Linked DNA regions of Alligator mississippiensis. The protein of the gene in region 1 purifies or fractionates together with the protein of each later gene. This does not show direct contact. Links are inferred from orthologs where the notes say so. Each region holds a gene or a part of one and is shown in the gene's direction. Other genes may lie near its edges.

Evidence for each region. The genes of interacting proteins can lie anywhere in the genome.
Region 2: the proteins of XIAP (region 1) and SIVA1 purify together in Homo sapiens (affinity purification with western blotting; 3 studies listed by BioGRID). This does not show direct contact. The link is inferred for Alligator mississippiensis from reciprocal best matches to the Homo sapiens genes XIAP and SIVA1.
Region 3: the proteins of XIAP (region 1) and XAF1 purify together in Homo sapiens (affinity purification with western blotting; 5 studies listed by BioGRID). This does not show direct contact. The link is inferred for Alligator mississippiensis from reciprocal best matches to the Homo sapiens genes XIAP and XAF1.

The regions. Positions count from the first base shown.
Region 1 is NC_081831.1:71,243,002-71,251,924, reverse strand, and holds the start of XIAP (E3 ubiquitin-protein ligase XIAP), read left to right. Parts: upstream 1-5,339; 5' UTR 5,340-5,354; coding exon 5,355-5,380; intron 5,381-8,923.
Region 2 is NC_081825.1:288,974,324-288,982,461, forward strand, and holds SIVA1 (apoptosis regulatory protein Siva), read left to right. Parts: upstream 1-4,653; 5' UTR 4,654-4,689; coding exon 4,690-4,807; intron 4,808-4,926; coding exon 4,927-5,106; intron 5,107-6,219; coding exon 6,220-6,310; intron 6,311-6,736; coding exon 6,737-6,819; intron 6,820-7,192; coding exon 7,193-7,349; intron 7,350-7,654; coding exon 7,655-7,712; 3' UTR 7,713-7,902; downstream 7,903-8,138. UniProt on the Homo sapiens protein: Induces CD27-mediated apoptosis. Inhibits BCL2L1 isoform Bcl-x(L) anti-apoptotic activity. Inhibits activation of NF-kappa-B and promotes T-cell receptor-mediated apoptosis.
Region 3 is NC_081837.1:9,464,599-9,472,374, forward strand, and holds the start of XAF1 (XIAP-associated factor 1), read left to right. Parts: upstream 1-4,291; 5' UTR 4,292-4,464; coding exon 4,465-4,661; intron 4,662-5,923; coding exon 5,924-6,059; intron 6,060-6,568; coding exon 6,569-6,625; intron 6,626-7,279; coding exon 7,280-7,475; intron 7,476-7,776. UniProt on the Homo sapiens protein: Seems to function as a negative regulator of members of the IAP (inhibitor of apoptosis protein) family. Inhibits anti-caspase activity of BIRC4. Induces cleavage and inactivation of BIRC4 independent of caspase activation.

The DNA.
Region 1 (8,923 bases):
AGCCTAAATATGTTCCTTGCAGTAAGCTTAAATAAATTGCAGTGGGTAAAAAAGTGCCTAAGATCAATTATTCCCCTGATCTGGGGTGGAAGAAACAGATGGACTTCCAACCTGGCATGTGATAGCTACTGTGATGTGCCAAGTCTCTCTTGTGCTACAAAACTCTCCACTCTTATACACTCGCTTCTCTCACAACCCAGAATATAACAGGTAAAAGTCGGTGCTGTCTTCATGGTGTTGTATGGCAGAGGTTCCTAACTAGCTGCCAAGTCATGGCACGAGCCCCCCACTTGGACCTCCGGCTGCCAGCCCAGGTGAGCAGTTTCCGCTGCCAGCAGTCATGTGCTGGGCAGTGGGGCAGCCCCAGGTGGGAGGCAGCTGGCTCCATGTGCCCTGTCCCACTCCTGTGACAGTCCACAGTATAAAAAAGATTGGGAACCACTGCTGTATGGCATGCTGAATAGCCAGTGCTCCACTGAGGAAGCATTTTGCCCACTATATACGTAGACTCATATGTAGAATGGAGTAGGTATTGCCTCATGTGGATTAAAAGTTCTTTAATTTGGGATACAGAGAAACTTCCATTCAGGGACAAAACGCAAATACAGGACAAATGCTTGGCAGCAAACTAACCTAAGGACAAATGGAACAGCCCTCTAATCAATAAAAGGCAATAACATAGAGATAATAGGTTTTCTGCAAAAAAGAGAAAGAACGTGTTAACATAAGTCTGGAAAAAACAGTGCAAATTTATACATAGGCCAGTGGGGTAAATTCTGTTTTTGATTATATGCAGGTAATTCAATTGATTTTCATAAGAACTGAACACAATCAATTTTAAATTAAAGGATGGGTCCAGCCAAGTATCATCTTTTTTCTACACCTAGACAAATGTTGGGACATAGTTTCACATTTCCTAGCACAATCTTTTGCAATCTAATTACTTGCTATAGCTAATCTACCAATATTGTACCAGTCCATCTGCAAAGGGAAGTATTTTCAAGTGACATGATTGTTTTTACTGCTAAGTAACCAGAGAGACCATTAATCTTGGTCCAGTGAACTACTCACTGCTTCCCTGTTCTGTTTCAAACTCTGAAATAGAAGTGGGCCAAGCTGTTTGGGAATCAGAGTCAGCCTGACTGCTCTCACCACAGATGTAGTGCTTTTTTTTTGCTTTCTAAAAAATATTTTAATCCCTGTAGTCACACTTGTTAGAAATGAAGGCACTGTATTGTACAATACCCAAACTTTGGGAACTGAATCTTGATTTTGTCATGTAGGGCTCACCAACCTGTGGCACAAATGGGCAGCTGGGATGAGAGGCCAGCCCGAGAAGGACTGGTAGAGCCTGATGGGGAAGAAAATCCACCTGGGATCCTTATAGCCACTGCGTTTGAGTGGGTACAGACCCAAAATCCACTGGTAGGGAAGCAGAGGTCACAGAGGATCCTTGAGAGCGTGAGAGGACATAGCCTGAAGTACTGGGGTAAATGGCCGGGTGCTGTCACAGGGCACTAAGGTGCCTGCTCCTCTAAGACCAGAAACTGCTTGGGGAGAGAGCCCAAAGAGCCAGCCAGAAGCCCACAGGTGTAGGTTACCATGGCAACAGGCTAACGAGCAAATTAGCCTGCACCTGCACCTGGTCAGCTGACTGGAAGAGGCAGGGCCCTGGGCTCATATAAACCCCAGGGCTGAGACCAGAGAGTCAGTTCTTTGCCAGTAGTCAAGGGGGAAGGAGCTCTTCTAGAAAAAGTTAAGGGAAGAGGCCTGACTGTCTTTTTGCTTCTGGTAAGATTAAGGGACTTTGGGAGCTCACCAGATACCCTGGCCTACAAGGCCTGTAGTGCTGGGGAAGAGTGGTTCTTTTCAAGGGACAGAGCACACCCTGAGCTGCTTGAATTATGTTATAGCCCAGGGGCTTGTATTTTGATTTCTGTTTGTAAGGCCAGTAGACTGGGCTGAGGCTATTGGGGAAGGAGGAGGTCTCATTGGGGACCCACTACAGTGTGGGGACCCCAGCGCCAGTGTGGGCGCAGTATCTGGGGTGCATGGATCCTAGCACCGAGGGGTGTGGAGAGAAGGAGACAAGGCTGCGGAGAGCCCAGTGCTGACCAGACGCCAAGTGAAACTAAGGCCTTGGAGGGACACTGTGTGAATGCCATCTGTGAGGCTTGGGGCATGGTAAAGGGATGGTTTGGAGCCATGCATGTAGCCCATGAAGCTGAGGGTGTCCTGAGACATCCCTTTTGGAGCGGGACCCAAAAAGCGTCCAAGAACCCACCGGGTTCAGTAGGGTCCATCGAGACCATGTCCAAACAAATTTGAGGGCAGCTTCCCTATTTCATAAAGTTACATGAAGATGTGGCAGGCAAGAAAAGGTGCCCATTGGGCAGGATTGGCATGGTCAGGGAGCCATAGGGGTATCACGGCCATCCCTGGTGACCCCATCCCGTGACAGGTGTCAGCAGGCCTAGGATCCCAGCTTGCCTGGGGAACACCCACAAAGGGAAAGCCAGAGGAGGCCAAGTGAAGTCTGCCTTGCTGAACACAGAGCACTGGAGTGTTAGGTGCAGGCACCAACAATGCCCTGCCTGCCTGCACCATGTGTGCACTTTTAGTTTCATTATTAAGTTGTGCGTTTGTCGGCCAAGAAGGCCTCACCACGCTCCCACAGGGGACCGTGTAGGCAGCTGTGCCAGGAGAATGGGCAATGCCAGCGACCCATCCCAGACATCGCCAAGACCAGAGTGGACCACCTGAGTGGAAAGGGGTGAGGTGTCGGGGTGGTGGAGCCCAACAGAAGACCTACTGGCTGAGCCACCAGGGGCCAGAGGAAAGCACTGAGCAGCACCTGCAACTAATCTCAAACAACATTAAGTTGTGGCAGGAAAATAGGCCTTGGGGCAGTGCTCAGGTGGGCAGGGCATGCCAGTGGTGGCACTGCAAGCATGAGCCTGCCATGGTCATCCAGCAGTCATGAGGCCCCTTTTCTCTTATGGTGCCAAAAAGCAGTACAACTTACAACAGTTAGCATACATATAGCCTAGCACAACCAGAACTCCCACATTATATGTAACTGTGTATGTATACACATACAGGTACTCGTATATCTACACCCCCATAGATGGATAGCTATAGCTATATATAGATTAAAAAAAAAAAAAGTGTGTGTGTATCTAATGGGAACATATATACCAAGTAATATATACATGCATATCCATATACAGGTTTCCCTTGCTTTATGCTGTACATGTGTTCCTGGAAAATGGCACAAAACTCAAATTCGCATAAAGGGATCCCACTTTACAATGTAACAAATAGGGTACGTTCCAAGACCTTGAGTGTACTGACCTCCAGACCCATTTCTACCACTTTTGCAAGACAATTTTGGTACTCACCAACAGCAGATAGTACACACAAGCACAGGGCACTATCATAATGGGGATGGCAGCTGCAGAAACACGTGTTGCGGGCAACGAGCGAGAAGCACAGAGCAACACAAGAGACTATATTTTGGCATCCGCCACTCCCACAACGCAAAAAGCAGCTGACTGCGGGCTTCCACTGCACTGATTGCTGATATAAGAGTGAATTTACCTTGCATGTAACACATTTTTGGTATAAAAAAGGTCATCGCATGAGAGTGAGTTTGCATATACAGAACCCGCATAAAAGTGAGGAAAACCTGTACAGGTACCTGTACACGCACATTTACACACAAACATATGTCACTATATAGTAACTGTATATGGAGGTTTCTCTGTGTCCTGAGTTAAAGAACTATATAGTTACTGTAACCATATAGATAGATCGATAGCTTTATGTGTATATATATCTTTATCTATCTATCTATCTATCTATCTATCTATATGGTTACAGTATCTCTTTATATCTCTATATCTATCTATCTATAGATAGATAGATATAGAGATATAAAGCTATCTATCCTATACTTACATAGGTATAGATATATAGGTATACGTGTATAGATAGATCTATCTATATAGTGGTCTAGGTATAGATAGATCTATAAATAGATAGTGACATGTTTGTGTGTGTGTATATGTGCATATGGATGTGGTATGTGTGTGTATATAGGTATGTATCTATTACACCTACACACATCACACACATGCGTATCCATAGACAGATATACGCGCACACACACGCACAAATCCATACACACGCGCACGCACGCGCACACCCGTGTGTAAGGAGAGGCGCGGGGCCGGCAGGGGGCGCTGCGCGCTCGCCTACGAGGAGGGCGGAGGGGCTGGGCGCCGCCATCTTCTCGGCGGCCGCGCCGGAGCCGGTGCTGGTGCTGGTGCTGGTGCTGCGGGCGGTAAGTGCGGCGGGGCAGCGTGAGGGGAGCGGCCCCGGCCCGGCCCGGCCGGCTGCTCCGGGGGGAGGGTCGCGGGTCGCGGGCGGCCTCTCCAGCCGTGTCGTGCCGCCGGCGGGTGCCGGGTCCCCCGCGCTGGGGGTGGGGTGCGGGTGCGGGTGCGGGGCCCTTCCGGGGCGGCAGCCCGGCCTCCCCCGCCCGGGGCCGGTGCTGCGGGCTCCGCCGGGGCCGGGCTGCGAGAGGCCGGGGCTGGTTTGCCGGCTCCCCGGGGGCACGGCACTGGTGTGGGCCGGGCCCCCGCGGCCCTGTCAAAGACGAGACTTTCGCAGAAGCGTGTCTCGCGTGGGAAAGCTCCTCCAACTTTCATCGCCACCGCCCCTTGTCCCCATCGAAGACGGCCCCTCGGGTCGCCCTCGCCTCTCCCGGCCACGCCGCCAGTCTCTTCCCGGTGAGGATTACTCGAGAAGAGCTGAATTAGGGATTTCCTCGTCCAAAATAAGGTTTTCTTTCTTTCTTTCCCACCCCGCAAATGTTTCCAGCGTGCCCTGCCGCCTCCTGCGCAAAGAAATCACTTTCCACATTTGTTCGGGTCTCCTGTGATCTCGAAGGCCTGATGCGAGAGAGACGATACTGCTTTCATTTGAGACTCGCACTCCGGTTCGGGGATGTACGTGGTAGCCGCGTTGGTTTGAGACCCAAAGAAAGGCAAAAATCGAGAACTCTTGGTGCCCTAAAATGATCTTTGCGCATCCTCTGAAGTGCGCAGACGCACGCACGCCGTCACGCAGATTCCCGTTCCTCTCTCGCCGTTCCCCTTCTTCGCCCATCGTTAATTAGAAACCATCTCCTGTTGGTTTGCCAGCGCTGAGAAACTCCTTTGCAAGGTCCTGTTGCTCGTGCGGTTGTGCGCTGGATCGGTCTCTTCTCTGATCTTCCTCCCTACGTATTTAATAATGTGATTTTTATGTTGTTTATTTATTTATTTTTTATTCAGTGGTGGTCTGTCGTGCTGATGCTTTGTGGTGGATGCATTGCAAGGTAGTTTTCAACTGTTTGCATGCAACTCGGTCTTTAAAGGACATTCACATTTCATCGTGGGTATGATTTCGGTGATATACAGCATCCTAGAACTGCTAAACATCATTTTTACTAGAAGTGCTGATGTTCGTTCCCTAAAAAGGCAGGCGTGTTCAGATGTGTTAGCTGTCCTTTTGGTGGGTCTTTATTTTTCTTGTCTGTTTTGTTTTTATTGGGGGGAGGGGGAGTCTGACATGTGAGACATCTTGCACAAGGGGCTGCTTCTACCTCGCCGCCGTCATACAAGATGCAGACCCTGTGGCGCAGAGCGGATGTCTAATCCCAGCCGTGGTGCTTCAGCAGGTCACAATATTTATTGTAATGCCTTGAACACAACAGGGCTGTTGACTTCATGCAGGAAGCGGTGCTCCTGCGGGGGTCCAAATTTGGCCAAGTTCACCTATTGTGAGAAAAACCAAACGTGTTATGAAGATCAACCACATCAGAGAGATGCCTTCCTGCTTCCTTAAGCCTATCATGATTGATGTCGATACAAAACTGTCTTTTGGGGTTTTCTCTAAAGTGATGGGACCTGGTTAGCTTTCTCTGTTTCTCTTCCTTGTTTGCTGGGTGCTCGTGCTTGTCTTGGCCTGTCTTGTTTGTATGAGCTTGCTAAACTAAGCTCATTTTGCATTTTTTAAGTGTCCTGCTTTCTTCCTTACCTACCTATGCTTGTGGATGTAACCTTGTTTGGTGTTGTGCAAGGATCGTGCAACCGTTCACGTGCTAGAAGCTATATACATGGCATGGGAGCCAAGCTGATGAAAAGAGCCGCAGGCCAGAACTGGTTCAGGAAGTTCTGCACATCTTTCCTTGGCTTCCGTAAGCAAAGGTGGGAGAAATTTTCTCTGTGGCAGAAAGAACGGTCATTAGTGCGCTCCAAAACCAGGTCCATCGCAAGTACTGTGAGGCTAATGTGGTATCTCATTGATGTCAGAAAGCATAAAAATGGGCGTTATTTAAAAGGGCTCTTTACCAGCGTGCAATTTTTTCCTGTTGGGTGGCTTGGAAAGCTCTTTCAGTAGAGTTCATGGGTAATTCTGGTAACATTAGATGCTAAAAGTGCTGTTTTTCTATTTATTGATAGCACATCCGTGGTGGATGAGAGTAGGACAAAGTAATGGGATGAGTAAACAAGAATGGATGAGAGTTTAGGTCAGCTGAGGAAGAAATAAAACAGAGATTTTTTTTTTTTTTCCTCTAAAAATGTTACCTTTATCTCTCAGAAGCGTTGCCTCTGAGATGCACTGGTAGGAAGGTAAAAGGAAAACTGAATCATCTGAACTGCCTTCTGGTTCTTCCCCTTACTTCACTTTCTACCCCCCCCTAAAAAAAGTGGACAATGACTTTTCCTCTTTGAAATCATGGCTGGAAAAATCCTTCATTTGATTTACTGATAGGGTAGAAGAAACATTCCTTAGAGAATTCTGGTCATCCATTAATTTCTGTAGAATTTAACATCACTTAAAAGAAATCAGGGCTGCTTGCAGACATTGTGGGGGGAAAAACCTAGTGCTTTACTTTAAACTTGGTGCATTCCTGTGCCAAGCCCTGTGTAAACCCAGAGGAGGTGGACCTGGCTTGCCTGAGGTCTGTAAAAATTGGGTGGTTTAGTGGGGCTTTTTTGGTGCTTTTATCTAATAGCTGATTGAATCTGTTAGCAAAAAATGCCCCACTGAAGTGCCTGACCTATATAGGTGCTACAGAGCTGGTTTGAAGCAATATGCTGCTGCTTCTAGTGAGGAGTGGGTTTTTTTTTTTGTTTTTTACTTGTTTTTTAAATACCTGCAAGTTTCTAAGTCTTTAGGGTTGTGAGAGAGAATTTGTGAGCTGATGTCATGTCATTTCCCTCAATTTAGAGACAGCTTAACAAAACACTGCAGTGTAAAGACTGTTGGCGACCTACATCCTAGCAGCGTAGTGATGTGGTCAAGAATGCCTTTGGGGCTAGGAAAGACATTTGCCACATGATTTTTTTTTTTACTTTACATTAAAACTCATACCAAGGTGCAGGATTTTTGGTCCCAAGACGGTGACCACGGCGCAGGGCACCTGTCATGTGGCAGGGTTACCCTTGTGGCCCTCAACAGCTCACTAAAACTCATTAAGCAGCCCTCCAGCCAAAATAGTTGCCTGCTAGGCTTGTGCAAAATTTCACTGTTTTGTTCCGAAGCTGTTTCGACACATTTCAAGCTCGAAACAGCAAAATCAAAATGAAACAAAGCATCAAAACAGCTTTGAAATGAAATGAGGGCACTTGAAACATTTCGAAGTGTGTTGAACCAGCCCGGTGGTGAGAGGCAGGGGAGAGCCAGGGCTGCACTCCAAGCGGCTCTGCAGCCCCATGTAGCTCAGCCCAGCGCGGAGCGCAGCCCTGGCTCTCCCCACCTCCTGCCACGGGCTAGACCCTGTGGGGCCCACGGAGCTGATCGGAGTGCAGTGCCAGCTCTGTCCACCTCCCGCTGCCGGGCTGCGCTCCAAGCAGTTCCATGGCCCCATGGAGCTCAGCCCGGGGCAGGAGGCAGGCAGAGCTGGGGCTGCACTCTGCCTCCCACCACCAGGCTGAGCTCCATGGGGCTGCGGAGCCATTCAGAGCTCAGCCCAGCGGCAGAAAGTGGGCAGAGCTGGGGCTGCACTCCACCTCCTGCCACCAGGCTGAGCTCTATGGAGCCTGCCGCTGGGCATGGACTGCTCCCAGCGCTGGTCCCAGGTGGCAGCAGCAGCCTCCTATCATCCAGCACAGATCCAGGGGCCTGCACCCCCAGGAGGAGTCCAGCACAGCCCCACAGCTGGCAAATTTTGCTTTCAAAACTTTGAGGTGCAGTTTCCGAGAAACCTCTGCACCCATCTCTTTGAAACTTGGCAGGCTTCATGCCCTCAGAAGGGGCTAGCATCCCTGCAATTTGCATCTAAATCAGGCAAGAAAGACAACACTTTAGGCATTTTCATGATTCCCATTATAGCCTATGGGCAAAATATTGAAACCATTTTGACAAAACGAAATGAGACAGTGCTTCAAAATGAAATGACAAAACAAAACACTGTGCCTTCAAAACGGAAGTCGAAACGAGATGGTGGTGTTTCGCACAGCCCTGTTGCCTACCCCTGCTCTAAATCCTCTTCTGTGAAGCACCATTTCTACTTTACTTTTTGCTGAGTAAGTTAGCCACCTGCTGCACAGCCGGTAAAAGTTGTAAGTGAGTTCTCATTGAAATCAGTGCTTGTTAAGGAAATGAGTTATTTTATCAGTATACCCTATGTCTGTTGGTCTGGCATCTCAAGAGGCTTCAGCTATCCTGATTTATTATACACCAAGCCTGCTTTCAATTATAGTACTAATAGCAAATTTTCTTTCAAATTAACCTATAATTTTGGTCATTGCTGGAGGAGGGAGGGAATATATATATATTTTTCATTTTCTATTTTGTTAAATGTATCTTGTCAGGAAAAAAATGAAATGCATTAGTACTCTCTTCTTGTATACCTTTAGATAATCTTATTTCC
Region 2 (8,138 bases), on another chromosome or scaffold:
TACATGCATTCCCAGAGAACGGCGCATAAATCGAATTTGCATAAAGCAAATCCACTTTACAATGTAACAAATAGGGATAGGTTTCCATGGCACGGAGGGAGAAAGGGAGTGAGACTGGGACTAAGGAAGGGATGGGAGGAGGGGTGCTGCTCCCAGGGCTGTACAAAACAGCAAAGCAGAGGGAGCAGAGCAGCACTCACCCCAGCTCCAGCAGCCCCGGGAGCAGCCGGCACCAGCAGCCTGCAGCCGCTGGGCTGCACCATGCTTCACCTGTCGCCTTGCACCTGGGCTCCGCTTGTCCCCATTCACCTCTGCTCCTGAGCTGCATTGTGCCCTGATGCAGGCAGCTGGTGTTGGTTGCTCCTGGGGCCACTCCAGCCCATGCTGGAGTGAGTGTGGACAAGCGGAGCCCCAGGCAGTGCGGGGCACAGCACTCACCCCAGCCCGTGCTGGAGCAGCCCCAGGAGCAGCCAACTCCAGCTGCCTGCACCAGGGCACGGCGCAACCTAGGAGCAGAGGTGAGTGAGGACAGGCGGAGGAGCATGGTGCAGCCCAGTGGCTGCAGACAGCTGGCACCAGGTGCTCCCGGGACTACTGCAGCTGGGACTGGGGTGAGTGGGGCCACGGCCCTTTCCCACTCCTCCCTCACAGACTTACCTGCTTGGGCGGCGGGGTGTCTATGCTGATCACATAAGTGCAAATTTACCTTGAATATAATGAATTATGGGTCTAAATATGCTCATTGCATGAGTGAATTTGCATATAAAGAACCCGCATAGATTGAGGGAAACCTGTACTCACAAACTGGGATGTTTGAAGTCTGCATCAGGAGATGTATGGTTTGTGCCTGAATTTGCAAATTAATAATTTATTAATAATAATAATAATTAATAATGTAATAATTTAATAATTATTAATTTGCCAATTAGAAATTGAAAACACTGAAGAAAAAAATAAAATTCAGTTTTTGCTTTGTTTGGAGAGTAAGAAAGCTTTTCACCAGCCATTTGTTCATGTTAAATGTTTCTTGGAAGAAGAGTACAACTAAGATGGTCGGATTCTCCTTTCTTACTGGGTTTTCTTTCACAATCGCATTTTCAAAGAAAAACGAAAATGTTCACATTCTCATTTACTACTGGTAGGTTAGATTTTTCCCGAAGCATAATAGCATAATACAGGGCATATCTACACATGCATTTAAGCACAAATAAATTTAATGAGCATTAAGCTAAGATGCATTAAGGAATTTTTTTACGTGTATCTACATATGCAGGGACTGGGCACTAAAGCTAGTGCCCAGTCCCTGCAGCCCTGTCTTGTGCCCCTAGTGGCTGGGCAGACCCAGCACTAAAGTTAGTGTTGGGTCACGTCTACACATGTATTAATGCGCTTTAACTAGTCACACCTATATTTGATACCTGCATTTGCAGGTATCAAATTTGTGTGATTAGCCTAATTTCACCATTTTAATGCACATTAAGGGCATACATGTGTAGACACATGATCATAACGTGCATTAACTTAAGCTAACAGAGGCTAAATTAGGCTAACAGAGTCTCATCAGCAGAAATTGTCAGCATTACATTTCATGAATGTTAGATGCTGGCAAGCTCAGCCAGATCAGAACAGTCTTCCTTTATATTTCCAAATCACCAATGGATCTCCCTCAAGGCTTATTTCTGTGAGATTAATAAACACTACTGGACTGTTCTACTGGGTAAAGAGTAAAAAAAACTAGCAGATGAGCCAGCTTTTTCCTTATAGGATACCAAATCATGTTGATGCACATGAGACAGAATTATTTTGCCTTTCCACTAACAAAAAAAAAAAGCCCAAGCAGCAGCAGATGTTGTTAAGGATTAGGCTTGTGAAGCAATTAAGGAAGAGATGTTGCCACCTGAGGCAGACTCTAATGGCTGCAACAGAAGACTTCTGAGTTTGCCCTGCAGTGAGGTGATGGCAGCATGTTGCAAAAGTAATCATAACAGAACATCTTGACAGTGTCATGTGTCAGCCCTCAGGGAAACTGCCCTCCTTTTTACCCTTAAATGAAAGATCCAGCAGTGCAGTTATAGTACACGCCGACCCCTTTTAAACCTATTTCTTCTTCTCAGATAAAGTTTTAGAGTGTTATTCTTCACAAGCAAAAGAGCACTCTCAACTTTGTCTTCAAATTTTTTCTTGAAATCATATATAGTATCTAATTTGTAAAGACTTAGCTCAAGTTCACCCTTGCTAGTCACCTGGTCACCTTCATAAAGCACAGAGATGTTCTGATAGAAATGCTCAAAACTGCAAGGTGCTGAACACAGTCCATCTACCTAGGATTTCACGGGTTTGTGCTACCATTAGGCACTTAACCACTGGCAGGCCTGAGACCTTTTTCTGCCTTTTCAGGTCATTTAATTGAGATCCTATTCCACCTTGCTTGGGCTCCTTAAAAACCATTAGTACTGATATACATTTTATCACGTGCCTTCATCCAAGATGTAGGATGACATGGCATAAAGCAGGGCAACCCACATACAGGCAGTCCTCGACTTACAACATTTCGAGTTACAACGTTTCGCACTTACAACGGTTATAAATTGACACCCTGTTTCAACTTTATGACGTCAGTTTCGTTTTTTCAATGGTTGATCTGATACGCCACGCCAGCAAACAAGTCGGCTGCGCTGCTCATCTCCCTGGAGAACATCTGTCCAAACTTCCTTAGACACTTTGTTTAAGAAAGGAGACAAGACTCCAGAAAAACCTACAGCCTAGACTCCTGAGAAGACTCCAGCCAAGAACCCTTCAACAAGTCCAACCAAGAGCCCTTCAAAAAGTCCAGCAAAGTCACCTCAAAGTCCTTCCAAATCAATGAGATTGCTATTTACAATATAAATACATTAATGTATACTATTCATCTATAATTGATCGAGTACAAAATTCTGGGGTATTTTTGCTGAAAACAGAATCTGGCCTTGGTTCAGGAACCAATCCCCCATTTATAACATTGTTTCTTATGAGAAAATCGGTTCCAAGTTACAATGTTTCGACTTAAAATGCGTTTTTCAGGAACCCATTGTGTCGTAAATCCAAGGACTACCTGTATATTTGTGTTCAGTTTTGCAAGCTGGGTGGAATACAACTGCACATAGATGCCAAAGTGCCACAGCTGCCTAATTAGGTGGCAAGGGAGTGCATGAGGTGCTCCAGGGTGAACGTGGGAGCCATAGACACAGCCTCTGCATTGCTGGGACCTTAAATGCTGGAGGCAGCAAACGGGAGAGGAACAGGGGAAACCCCCCTGCTCAGTCCCTGCTCACTGTCCCCTTCCAGCATCTGCCCTCTGCTATGGCAGGGCCCTGCTAGGCCTTCGAATGAAAGCTGGACGTAGGGTTGCCAGCTCTGTTTAAATCTATTCTGGGAGATTTCATTACATGACATAATGACTTTGCACCAGAAGGCAAGTACACATTACTATTACATTTAAAAAACCCACTGGACTACTATATAAATTGGATTCGACATTTCATGTTTATTTTAATGGATGGCCTATCATTTATCTCCCAGGTGACTTTCAGCAGTATCCCAGAGCTTTATATCTAATTCCTGGAGGCTCCCAGGCAATCCTGGAGGGCTGGTAACCCTAGCCGGACGGAAACCAGCGCCAGACTGGTGCTGGTGATCACTACACATCTTCAAGCACTAACTTAATGGCAGCTTGGCTCTCTGTACGGCTGGAGAGCCACTTTTATGGCACAAGGACTACGTTGCACATGTAGCCAGCCTGCATTTATGGCCCCAAGAACGCAATCAGTAGCAGCCTCAGGGGAGGGCAAACTGGGCAACCACCCAGCACCCCACACTTTGTAAAAATTAATTCCACTGAATATTTGTATTATCCATATCGCATTGGGATATTTGTAATTAATAAAAGATAATATCTGTATTATCCATATCTGTAATTAATATTTGCATTATCCATACTGTCATGGAGTTATTTGTAATTAATATATTTGTATTGTCCATATCGAATTGAGTTATTTGTAATTAATATATTTGTATTGTCCATATTGTATTTATTTGTAATTAATATATTTGTATTGTCCATATTGTATTTATTTGTAATTAATACAAGATAATATTTGTATTATCCATACCATATTGAGATATTTGTAATCAGTATAATATGTGTATTATCCATCTCGTATTTATTTGTAACAGAAGATAATATTTGTATTATCCATATCGTATTGAGATACCTGTAATTAATATTTGTATTATCCATAGTGCATTGAGATATTTGTAATTAATAGAAGATATTTGTATCATCTGTATCGTATTGAGATATTTGTCATTAACACAAGATCACATTTGTGTTACCCATACCGTATTCTCCACACTGTAATCACTGTCACTGCAGGGCGGGGTGACATTGAAATCGAAAATCATCATCAAAATGAGGGCGCTCAGGGCCCCGGGCGAGCACCGCACCGCACCGCACCGCACCGCAGCCGCCCGCTCCAGCGGGCCGGGCTCCGCCCACGACTCCTGAGGGGAAAGCTCCGCCCCCAAGCTCCAACCCCGCCCTGTCCGCGCCAGGGCGGCCCCACAGCTTCCGTAGGCGGCTAGGCCCCGCCCCCCGCGCGGATTGGCCGGCGGAGCGGTGACGTAGCGCGGGGCGGTGCGCGCGCGGCAGCGATGCCGAAGCGCCGCTGCCCCTTCGCGGAGGCGGCCGCGCCGCAGCGCAAGACGCGCGTGGGGCTGCGCGAGATGAGCCGCGGGGTCGCGGGCGACACGTACCGGCGCCAGGTCTACGGTGAGGCCCGGGGTCGGGGCCGGGGGGGAGGTCCGCGCGTGCCGCCCGCCCGCCCGCCTGGCCCCGCTCACCGTGCCTGTGTGTGTGTGTGTGTGTCCCTCCCCGCCCCCTCCCCGCAGAGCGGACGCGGCAGCTGCTGTTCCGCGGCGCCCAGGCCTGCCCCGAGCGCGCCGCCCGCCCGGACCCGCCGCCGCCGCCGCACCCGGCTCTGCTGGACCCGACGGGCGAGCCCGAGAGCGCGGGACAGATGCTGCTGGGCCCCGACGGGAGGCTGCTGCGCCGCCCGGCCCGCGACCGCGGTGAGTGACCCGGACCCGGAGCCGCGCTCCTGCGAGAGGCGGGACCCGGCATCCCGCCTCCCCCCTGGGCGTGGGGCTGCCTTGGAGGGAGCCCCATCAATAACATGGCGGAGAAAGAAGTGGGGCTGGGCGGGAGCTGAGGCAGGGACCTGGGTTTTCCGGAAAACCTTAAATTGGAAATTTTCCTAAGTAGAGCCGGATCTGATTTAGCACCTTTATTTGCTTTGCGTTTAATAAACAAAGCTAAAACAGGACCCCCCCCATGTTAATTTTATGCCTGGATAGCCACAAGTATTTGAACTCAGAGATTTGATTAGGGGGGGAAAATTAAAAACAGCACAGTTAATGTAGGTTTTGTTTGTGTTTGAATATGTATGTGCGTGTGTATTCAAACAGGTGTTAATGCTTATGTGGAAAGAAGTTATTATTTTTATTGGAATAGTTATAAAGCCAGTACACAACAGCATGTACATCCTGTATATTGTTTTTTTCCCCCTTTAATTTAAACAAAGGCGCTGAAAACTGCTGACACGCTTACGAGGTGTCAGCGCTTTGTGATGGTTTCAAGCTTGTTTTTAGAATCATAAAATTATGAGGGGAAAAATGCAGCTGTATCAGGTCGAGACGATCTACTCGTATGTGATGTGCAAGTGCCTGGCTGAGATGTTCAGGGCAGGTGTATAGTTTTTACGTCTTTAAAACTCCTTGAAACATAGAAACTATAGTTACGTTGGTACGCTGCTTCTGACACTAGTTCTAGCACACCCGCAGAACTGTGCACGACGTGCCGTGCTTTGGCTTTGATTTAACTTGCACAGCCAATTAGGTGAATTCATAACTTTGATTTTTGGTTTGGATGATTCAGAGTGTGTGTTCACCCTCCCGTTTACAAATTGGTAAAACATATATGTGCTCTCTCCCACACTTCCTAGGGATAATCACCTAAAAAACATTAATTGCATCTTTGAAACTGCCAAGCTTGCATAATCTTGTTTTGGCATCCATTGATTGTTACTAATGAATTTTATGAAACGATGAATTTTTAGAAATGGAAAATTTCCCCTGGAAAAATAAAGCACCGGAAAATTTTCCACCCCACATTTCTGTCCCCAGCCAAACCACCCTGTACCAATCCATCATCAAATCTTCATAAACCTTCTGTCAGCCCTGATGCGACACAGATCAAACAGCTTGGCCTGCACAGGTAAAGTGGGGGAGCTGCAGCAGCCAACATCCTGCTCCTGTGAAATGTTATCAATAGACGCTTAAGAGGTCCCAGGTAGGGCCATGTCCCTGCTGCAAAGGGAGGCAAAATTCCCTCTGAGAGCCCTCCCTGTCCTGCCCCTGGGGTGGTGTCTGTGCAGGGCTTCACTGGCCAGCACCAAGCTGATGCTGTCAGAGAGGCCACACAGCTCTTATTTTTAGGTGGAACTTGATGGGTTTGACGTCAAGTTTTGCCCTGTCAGAATTAGCAGTTAGGATGGGGGCCAGGGCTGCTGTGCAGGGCTGCTGGGGGCTGGCGCTGCTGCCATCCTCTGCTTCACAACTAGGATTCCCTATTGCTCTGCACCATGTGGGTGCCCCAAGCTGCAAGCTACCACACACTGCACCATGTCACCCTGTGCCCTAGGCGTGAAGCAGAAGCCAGAAGAGAAGAAAGCCTGGAGATGCTGCTGCTGCTGCAGCTGGAGCATCAGAGGGCAGAGCAACCAGGTGGGACTATGGAGGCTGCAAATTAATAACTTCTTATGGGTTGCATGCTGCCCCCAGGCTGCCAGTTGGACAGCCCTGAGTTAGGATTAGCTGGTGAAATTGGGATACCAAACGGATAAGTAGACTGGGTGTTGCTGCCACAAAATAGTTTGTCTTTCTTCATTTAATCTTAAAAACATGGGATGCATCTAGTGCCTGGAATGGTAGATGTTAGCTATCACATTTTCAGTTTTGTGCTTACTTAACTATAATAATATTGACTGCAGGTAAATAGGTTCCTATGGATTTTGGAGGGCTCTAGATGTTATTTGTTCAAATTTTCTGTTCTGGCGTTAATAATAATAATAAAGTATTGTTTTTGTCTCCCAAATAGCCCCACCCATGGGAGTTTCCAAAGCCTGCTCCTCGTGCATACGGACCGTAGACATCAAAGAAGTTTGCACGCAGTGTGATCACTTGATATGTCAGCATTGCAGCAAACTCTGCAGTTGCTGTAACACTGTCATTTGTTCCATGTGTTGCACCATCGAGTAAGTGCTTCGTGATGGTTTCAAGCTTGCTTTTAGAATCATAATTTTATAAGGGGGAAAAATGCAGCTGCATCAGATTGAGACAGTCTGCTCGTATATGATGTGTAAGTGCCTGACTGAGATGTTCAGGGCAGCACCCTCCCCCCCACTCCCAGAGCATGTGTATAAATGCCTGATGGGAGCCTGGTAATTTCTGTGGGGTTCTCTTGCTTTCAGTAGCTGTTGAAGAGAGAAGGGAATCCTTTTCTTTTTAAATACTGTACAAGAAATAGGGGATGCTCAGCTGACTTCTTTTTTTCTTCTAGTTACAGTGATGTTGGTGATCAAGTTCTCTGCAGTGGTTGCTCAATGTTTGAAGTCTAAATTTTAATGATCTGCCAGTACCTCTTTGCGACTAAGATGTCTCTATAAATTCTATGAAGAATCATCTTTTTATAGCTGAATAACTAGCACTTCTAGTGGATGGAGTTAACAATGAGGTTGATGTGTATTGTATGTTTATATTGTATTTTTATACCATAGCTAAATAAACTTTTTTTATATTTTGATGAGACTTTTGAAGTATTGCCTTGGTTATTTTAGCTAAACTACAGTTAACCTCAAAGGCCGTTTTAGGCTTCCTTGTCCCAGACCAGTGATTCTCAACCAGGTGCCATGAGATCCTGCCATGCTAATTCCCCAGCTCCTACAAGGAGGTAAGCATAGTAAGAGACATTAATCGTATGAATTGAGTGGCTTCCAATTTATGAGAGTTATGGAGAGAAGCCTCAGGTCCAAGGAGGCTGAGAA
Region 3 (7,776 bases), on another chromosome or scaffold:
GTAGCAAGTAGCATTTAGAGGCAGAAATGATTTCCACCCAGCCCCTACTTTCAGTCCAAACAGCGAGCGACCACACAAGAACAAACTCTGCAAACAGGATGTCATTGTGCCAACACAGCCAGATTAACCTATGCAGCTGCTAGCTCCACTCCAAACGTACTTGTGCTTCAATTTGTTTTAAAGCAATTAAAATGTTGCAGCAGCACTAGTGCAGCATTTGGAGGTACAGAAACAATGGAAATAACAAAGGACTGCAAAATCTCTGATACTTGACAATGAAAAAGAAAAAAAAAGGCCGTCCCTGAAACTTCCTAGGTTTTGGCAGAAAAGGAACATACTATCCCGTCGCGTGAGATTTACATTTAAAAAACAACCCGTTCAGAACTTACCTTTGTGATGCTTGACTTGATCGGTCACCTAAAACAGATCTGAAACCATTATGTTATGCACTAGGAGGTTTACACAAGGCTTAAAAGTAAAAGAATGATTACTAGAGTTCACGGGACATCACTTGTTCCTTACCTTGTTGTTTCTCCTTACTGAGAACATTTTACAGCCTCTGCCAGTCCACTGTGTTCCTTTAGGAGTATCCTTCAGCAAGGTCCCCAATGCAGCATCTGATATTTTTCCAAGTAGAGCTTTTGAGCCTCTTAACTTCAAGTTCTTTTGGTACAATCCCTGTGCCCAACAACTGGCTATACAAAAGCTCTCATTATGAACCTCAAGTCAATGGGGGTTTCCTCTGTCACGGTGCCATGCTGATCAGACTTTTGAGCCCCAGGGTGGTACTTCCAGTACAGTTTAATTGAAGCCCCAGGGAATTTCAAATACTGTACAGCAGAAAGACCGGGGGGAAAAGAAGTATTTGATTGGTAATTGGCAATAGACTGTCTGCCTGCCTGCGACCCATTCCTTCTTGATGACTGCCATCTCATTTACATATTTTTTCAAAAGCCTTTTCTCTGCCTTGTTACATAATTTGTGTTGCAAAATGCAAACAAACACTAATTATTTCCAAGTCTGGACAATCGGTTACTCGTTTCTTCTTGTTATTTGGAAGGGGATAGGAAGGACAAAGAGAAGAAGGCATTTGGACGGGCAGAAAATTAACCAGAGAGATTTGAAGTCTGATTTGGTAAGGAGAGTGTTTTGTACTTGTGTCCTGTGTAGCATGAGGAGGGATCCCACAAACATTAAAATACACGATGTCTTCTAGCACCCGAGGGAACGAATAGTATCATCCCCATTTTACAGAGGGAAAGGTCAAGGCTTACATTTCCAAAATGCCCACTAGTTTGGGGCATCCAACCTGAGACACTAGGGACCCGATTCCTCATTACCCTGCACCTTCTTCTGGGTCTTTCTCCATTCCTCATCACTGAGAAAGTGGGGCTTTTTATACCAGTGAAAAGTGAACCTAGTTTTCAGAAGCACTAAGCACATACCGGCCCCCTGGCTTCGATTCAGCTAGTCAAGCAAGGGAGAAGTGAAAGTCTCTGCAGGAAAGAGACTGTTGCCATTAATTAGAAAAGGGATGTCTGATATATTCATGTCAAAAGAGTCATTTGCAATGAAACAATAACCACAAGGCTGCACAAAGACAAGAGCAGAACTCCAGATTATTGCAATTATTGCATAGACAAGCCATTCCCCTGGCTTGTCTAGCAGTCTGCCTGTCCATCCTTAGGACGGGAGTCCCTCAGAGCAGAGGCCATCACATCTTTTATGTCTAGAAAACAACTAGCAGATCATGGTTGCTAAACCAAACACTAAATACTAAATACGGTCCTTTCAGTGGACAGAATGCTTTCATACATATTTCACATTAGAGTTCGGTCTATTCATACAGAGCTTACAAAGAAGTATTCAGTTATTAAATCAACAGTTGTAGAATTCAACAAATCAATAAGTCGTTTAAAATCATCTGTGTTGCCGTCTTGTGCTGTGGTTATAGCCATCGATGACGCATCCTGTCCGTCACAAGCTTATAACCCGTGTCAATGTGCTCTTTATACACCGTGTATAAATGGTACCTTAATATAAGTACTAATTTGTTTCCATTATCAGCGCTGAGGGGATCTTGCTTTCTCATTCACCAATATGGGCTTTTCAAGCCTTTGATTCCCTACAGTGTCCTGAAGATAACCATAGCAGGAGAGAAATGGGAGAGGAATGCAATAGGCAGGAATGCCATTACTATCCCATCACTTACCCCTTGTCCCTACCCCCAGAAAACTTACAGCTTAAAAGTCCTTTATTATTCATCCAAATTTTATTGGATCCATGGTCAAAAAGGCACATCCTACCCCACGCGTGTATTCCTGCTCCCAGAACAGAGCCACAGCCCAGTCAGCCTGCTCCTCCAGGAAAAAAAGGGAATATGTCGTTTGCCAGAAATGTCAAGGCACAAACTGTGCTGGGCCAAGGCTAAGCGATGATTTCCACTGTCAACAATTTACCTTGCCATCCCCTCCTCCTTTCAAACTAGGGACATCTGCAAGCAGAAGCGGCCCCCTCTCGCCCTGGCCATCACCGGTCCTAGGGTAGGGCAAAGAGGCGTTTCGATGCCTCCACGTTAAACGTTGGGTCTTGTTCACAACTCAGATCACTTGAAAGGGGCTGAGGGTTACTAGAGAACCCAAACCCCAGTGTGATTTTGGTGAGCTGGAAGTGAGATTCAGGGTCTGGCTCTATGGCAAGGCAGCGTTGCTGTTAGGGCACGGCACCGATCTGCAGCTCCGATCTATCCTATCCCACGCTCGACTTCAGCCTCGATGGGGGACCCCCGGCAGCGCGCTCGTCGTGCCTCCGTTTCCAGTGGGGTGATACAGTGCCCAAATGTCAATGGGAAACTTGTCTTGGAAATTAGGCTGTATGCCTTTTTCTGATTGGCTGAGTGAACAATGGCCTCTGTCACATGGTCACAGACAAGTCAGCTGTAAAAACAACTGAGGCTCTTGCTTGGGGAGGCAGACGCCATGGGAGATGTCTAAGGAGGAGGTAGTTTTTCCCAGGCCCAGGAGCTATAGGTAACCTTCCCTGCGAGTCAGAAGACCAAGGCCTGCTCTGCGCGATTCAGGGCCAAAGTAACTCGGGGCAGGTTAACCGATCCATTTTTTTTTTTTTAGTTTTGAATGATGCTTTCTCTTTCTCTCTCTCTTTCTTCAGCAAATCTGTTTCCAATTCAGCCTCATCTCCCCTTCTGTTCTGGACTCCCACCCTAGGTCCTATTCGTGAGGTCAAAACCTTATGAATGGAAAGAAACTGGCTGAGCTTTTGTAAGGAAAAGGTCATTAAGGTTTACTATGAGGGCTAAGCTCCCTCTAAAACACCCTAGACGCAGAGCTTTTTCTTTTTGGTCATCTTACTTTCTTTCTTATTTCTTTACCCAGAGCCGAAGTAATACCGTAGACGTTCACATCATATCAAATCTAGATGCTGCCTCTCCTAGGGCAGTGTTTCTCAACCTTTTAAGTAGCAAGTACCCCCTAACTTCTGAAAATTTCAATAAGTACCCCAACATGGGGATTTTATAATGGACATTAGTTGGACTTCTTCCAACTAATGTGTGCCATATGTGGGAAGAAGGGCTGTGTATATAAGGCCATGATATGACAGAAGTCTGATCTGGTGTGGGTAGGGTTGCCAACTTTTACACCAGGGTTGCACAACTCAAGTATGGACTTGGGCTAGAGGTGATGTTGGCCAAAGCTAGGAGGGCTGAACACAAAATTATTACTGGGGAATTTATTTTTTTTTAATTGCACCAATTTTTTTGCCATAGATTTAAGGGTGAGAGAGAGAGGAAAAGAGGGCAAGAGAGATTGTGTCGGGGTACCCACATACCCCCTGCCTGTGTCTCACATACTCCCAGTGGTACACGTACCACAGGTTGAGAAACTATGTCCTAGGGGACTAGATGCTGCGTCTGCCTGGGGCACAGACCGAACGAGCCGAAAGATTTATTCCACGTCCTGCAACAGGGATCCTACAAAGTTTGCCTAGCAGAGCTCAGGGAGACAGAAATGAAAGGGAGATGGAGGGATTTCGAACTCCCTCTTGTGGTCTCCCAGGAAGGCACTCTGCCTCGCATGGAGGCGTCTGTTTAAGGCTTTACCTGCTCATTTGTGTCTTCAGGAAGCAATCATGATCAGCTAAGGAGGGAAGAAAATCTATGGCAATAGAAAGGAAGGAGAGGAAAGGGCCAGATCCAACATTTGACAGTTCATAAATTGCCTAGAGGCAGCTTTGTTATTAAAACCAAGCAGGTGAAATATCCCTCGTCCCCTAACAGCCTCAAGCAGCTACAGAAAAGAGTCCTGCCTGCTAGACAAAGCATATTCAAACTCATTTGAGCCAGAGGAAAGAGTAGGGCAAAACTATCTTCCACCTCCCCGGGTCATCTGGACGCTACGTTTCTTGATTGAAGCTGTTGTGGGAAGGAGCCGAGACAGTAACTGGACAATGCCGCTCCCTGTTGGTTCCCACTCTCCTGCTTTGCATGGAGAAAAAAAAATTGGCCGAGCCCTTGTCTGGGGTTGGTTATTGGGACTGGCAGTTTCAGTTTCATTTTTCTCTTGTCAGATTAAAGAAGTGAAAAAGAAAGAGGGGCAGAGCCCGAGAGCAGCCATGGAAGACGAGAGCAAGTTCTGCCCAAACTGGTAAGAAATCCCTACTTTTTGCCAAGTGCCAGTGATACCCGAGGGGCACAGGGGCTTTGCTGATCTCCTTTTCGGGGTGGGTATTGCACGCTTCTCTCCCTGAACAGAGAAAGCCAAGGGGAGGCCAAGGAAACAAATCGGAACAGCTGATTGCTTTGTGTTGCCCTTTAACATCTAAGGATTTTGAAGACAATTTCTTTTCCCTGACTGACGGCTAGATCCCCCAGGCAAGATCAAGCAGTGCTTCTCTGCTGCCTGCTGTGTCCCTTGCCCTGCTGCTTAGGACCTAAAAGATTCGGCAGAGAGGGGCAGCTTGGGTCAGCAGTGCTGCGTGTCCAGCACCCAGGACAAGCGGCTTCAAAGAGGGGAAAGAGAGCTCCATAATTATGGACTAACCTGCCCACCGGGGAGGTGTGCCCTAAAAAGGCGGGGGCTGCATCGGGGTCAGCAAAACGCGGGCCAGATGCGGCCCGCCAGGCCACTCTATCCAGCCTGCAGGGCCTCTAAAAAGTTTAAAAAATTTATATTTATCTGCCCTGGCTGCCTGTCATGCGGCCCTCGATGGCTTGCCAAAACTCAGTAAGCAGCCCTCCGCCCGAAATAATTGCCCACCCCTGGGCTACATGCAGTCTGTTATTCCCATCAGTGATGAAGCTGTGGGTGTTTTCCTGCAGTCTGGAACACAACCCAGTACGAACTCGGTCCCTGGCTCAGTTTCCCCTTATGTCCAATGGTTCTTTCTGGTGTCAAGGCAACTTAGCTCTCCAGCTATAAGCCAAAAAGGTCACTATTGTGGGGAGCAAATTGTCCGTCCCTCTGTTCTCCCTTTAATATCTGGGGTCCCTTCACAAAGCAATAGCTTAAAGAAACTAGCACCCAGCCTCTACTATAGACCTCCAGCCCTGGAGCCACTGAATACTGTCTGCGTTATCTCTGGAACGCTGCGAATCCAGATGTTGCTGGTCCCCTCTGATCATAGGGCACAATCCTGCTTTCCCACCAGTGTAACTCTGTTGGAGTTATTCCTGATTTGCACTGATGTAAAAGCACTCTCTCATTTTGGACCCACATCACCTGACGGGGCCCCTGTTCCCTTAAAGATGTCCTCAGCAAAAGAGTAAAGCCTCCATAACAGAGCTGAGTCTTGGAAGGCTTCATTTGAACAAGACACAAGTATAAAATACCTGATGTCAGTTTTCTGGGATCGGCCAGGTGAATCGTATCCAATCCCATAATATTCTTTCCCTTTCCGTGTCACACAGTAAACAAGATGTGTCTGCTGCCAATTTCTCTCTGCACGAGATCCACTGCCGACGGTTCCTCACTGTCTGCCCAGACTGCAAAGAGGCTGTTGTTCAAAAGGAAATGCGAGAGCATCAGGCAAATGCACACAAGCAAGTGAGAGCTCTTCACCTTCCAACAAGGACTCGGACTGTCAGTTCCTGCAGTTAGGAGATGCACGGAAATCATGCCGGGCTGTGCTGCTGCATGGCGAACAGCCACGAGCATCTGTATTTGTTGAGGAGAAGATGGGTCAGGGCCCGATGCAACACTATAGCTCTGTCCACAGCCCCCTTCTCCCCAAAGGGCAACTGTGCGCTCAAGTCAAGGGACTCCGTCAGAGAACCTGCTCTTTTGTATTTAAGTTAATCTCCAATAAACACAGGGAATAATCAGCTGGTAGCATGATTAACTCCTGCCCGAACAGGAAAATCCTACACATTGCTCAGTTCCTATAGGAACAAGGTTCCCTATTTGCTTTCCAAAGATGGAAATAGCAGGGAGTCCATCTTGGACGATTTCACCTACAGAGGTAGCAGGTTCATTAGATAACTTGAAATATTCTCTATAAGCTGTCAGGTATTTTCCTTTAAGTATGCTACTATTCTGTCACCCTTTTCATTCAGGTCAGGTGTAAGCTTTGTCACCAAAGCCTGCAGCAATACCAGCTGGAGAACCATGAGGTGAGTCCATTGCTCTGTGCGCGAGACCAGAATCCAACCTGGCTGATCTCTCTTAGAGACACCACAAAGAGATGTCTGCAAATTAGTGCCTTCCCCAACATGGAACAACCCAGAGTCAGCAATCTTAATATAGTGCCATTTGACCCAGGGTTTAATGTAATCCATCTTTTTATATTAAAACAAATGTATGCCCTGGTCATCAGACTGTCCCTCCACACCTCTTCCCACCCCATTTCTGCAGGGAGTTTCTTAGAGAGGACCTTTCACTTCATCGCTTCTGTGGAGTTCACCTTCACATGAAGTGCGACTGTAGGCATACCTGTGGCAGCTTTTATCTAGCTACTGTAACACCACCAACGACCATATGGCATCACTGGCTTCAGGTTGTGTAGTAGCCAAAGTGCATCCTCTAGGTTTCTGGTGGGCTTGTACTCTTGGTTGCTAGCCCAGGCCAAGGCCACTGCTTCTTCACTTCTAGTTTTACCTGCGTTCACTAAATATAAACCTAATACACTATGCCTACCTGCACCACACACCTGCGTTTTGGTATGTAGACACGGTCTTAGTGGAGGACATTCTTAAAACCAAGTTAGGCCTGTTGTGTGGGGGGGGGTTTCCACTCCTGGTGTAACACTTGCGACTGTTCACTTGCAGACCATGGAATGCAGCGAACGAGTTATGAAATGCAAGTTCTGCGAGCTAGAAATGCCCTCTGCTAAGCTGCAGGAGCACCTCGATTCCTGCGGTAGTCGAACTGAGAAGTGTTTCGGCTGTAACAAATACATCATGTACAAGGACCTGGACCAGCACAAAGACATCTGTCGTAGTGGTGATGGGCTCTCAAATCATGGTGAGATTCACTCTCAAATTAATAATGTGACTCCTCTAGAAACCTTGGTTCTTCTAAGCGCAGGTAGCCCAAATTCCTTGTCATCACCCACAGCATCACGTTACTACAGTATCCGTTAATCACATGGAAAATTCCCCACCTACACTCTCCGAGTCCCAGTAATGCAGGTTGCCTTGTGTAATGTGGCCCCTGCCACACATTACATATATTATACAATTAACTGTGGTTAATCGCACAATACATTTAGACTGGTCACTTGTGCAAAGTAAGAGCAGCCACAGGTGCAGGGTAATTATGCCAT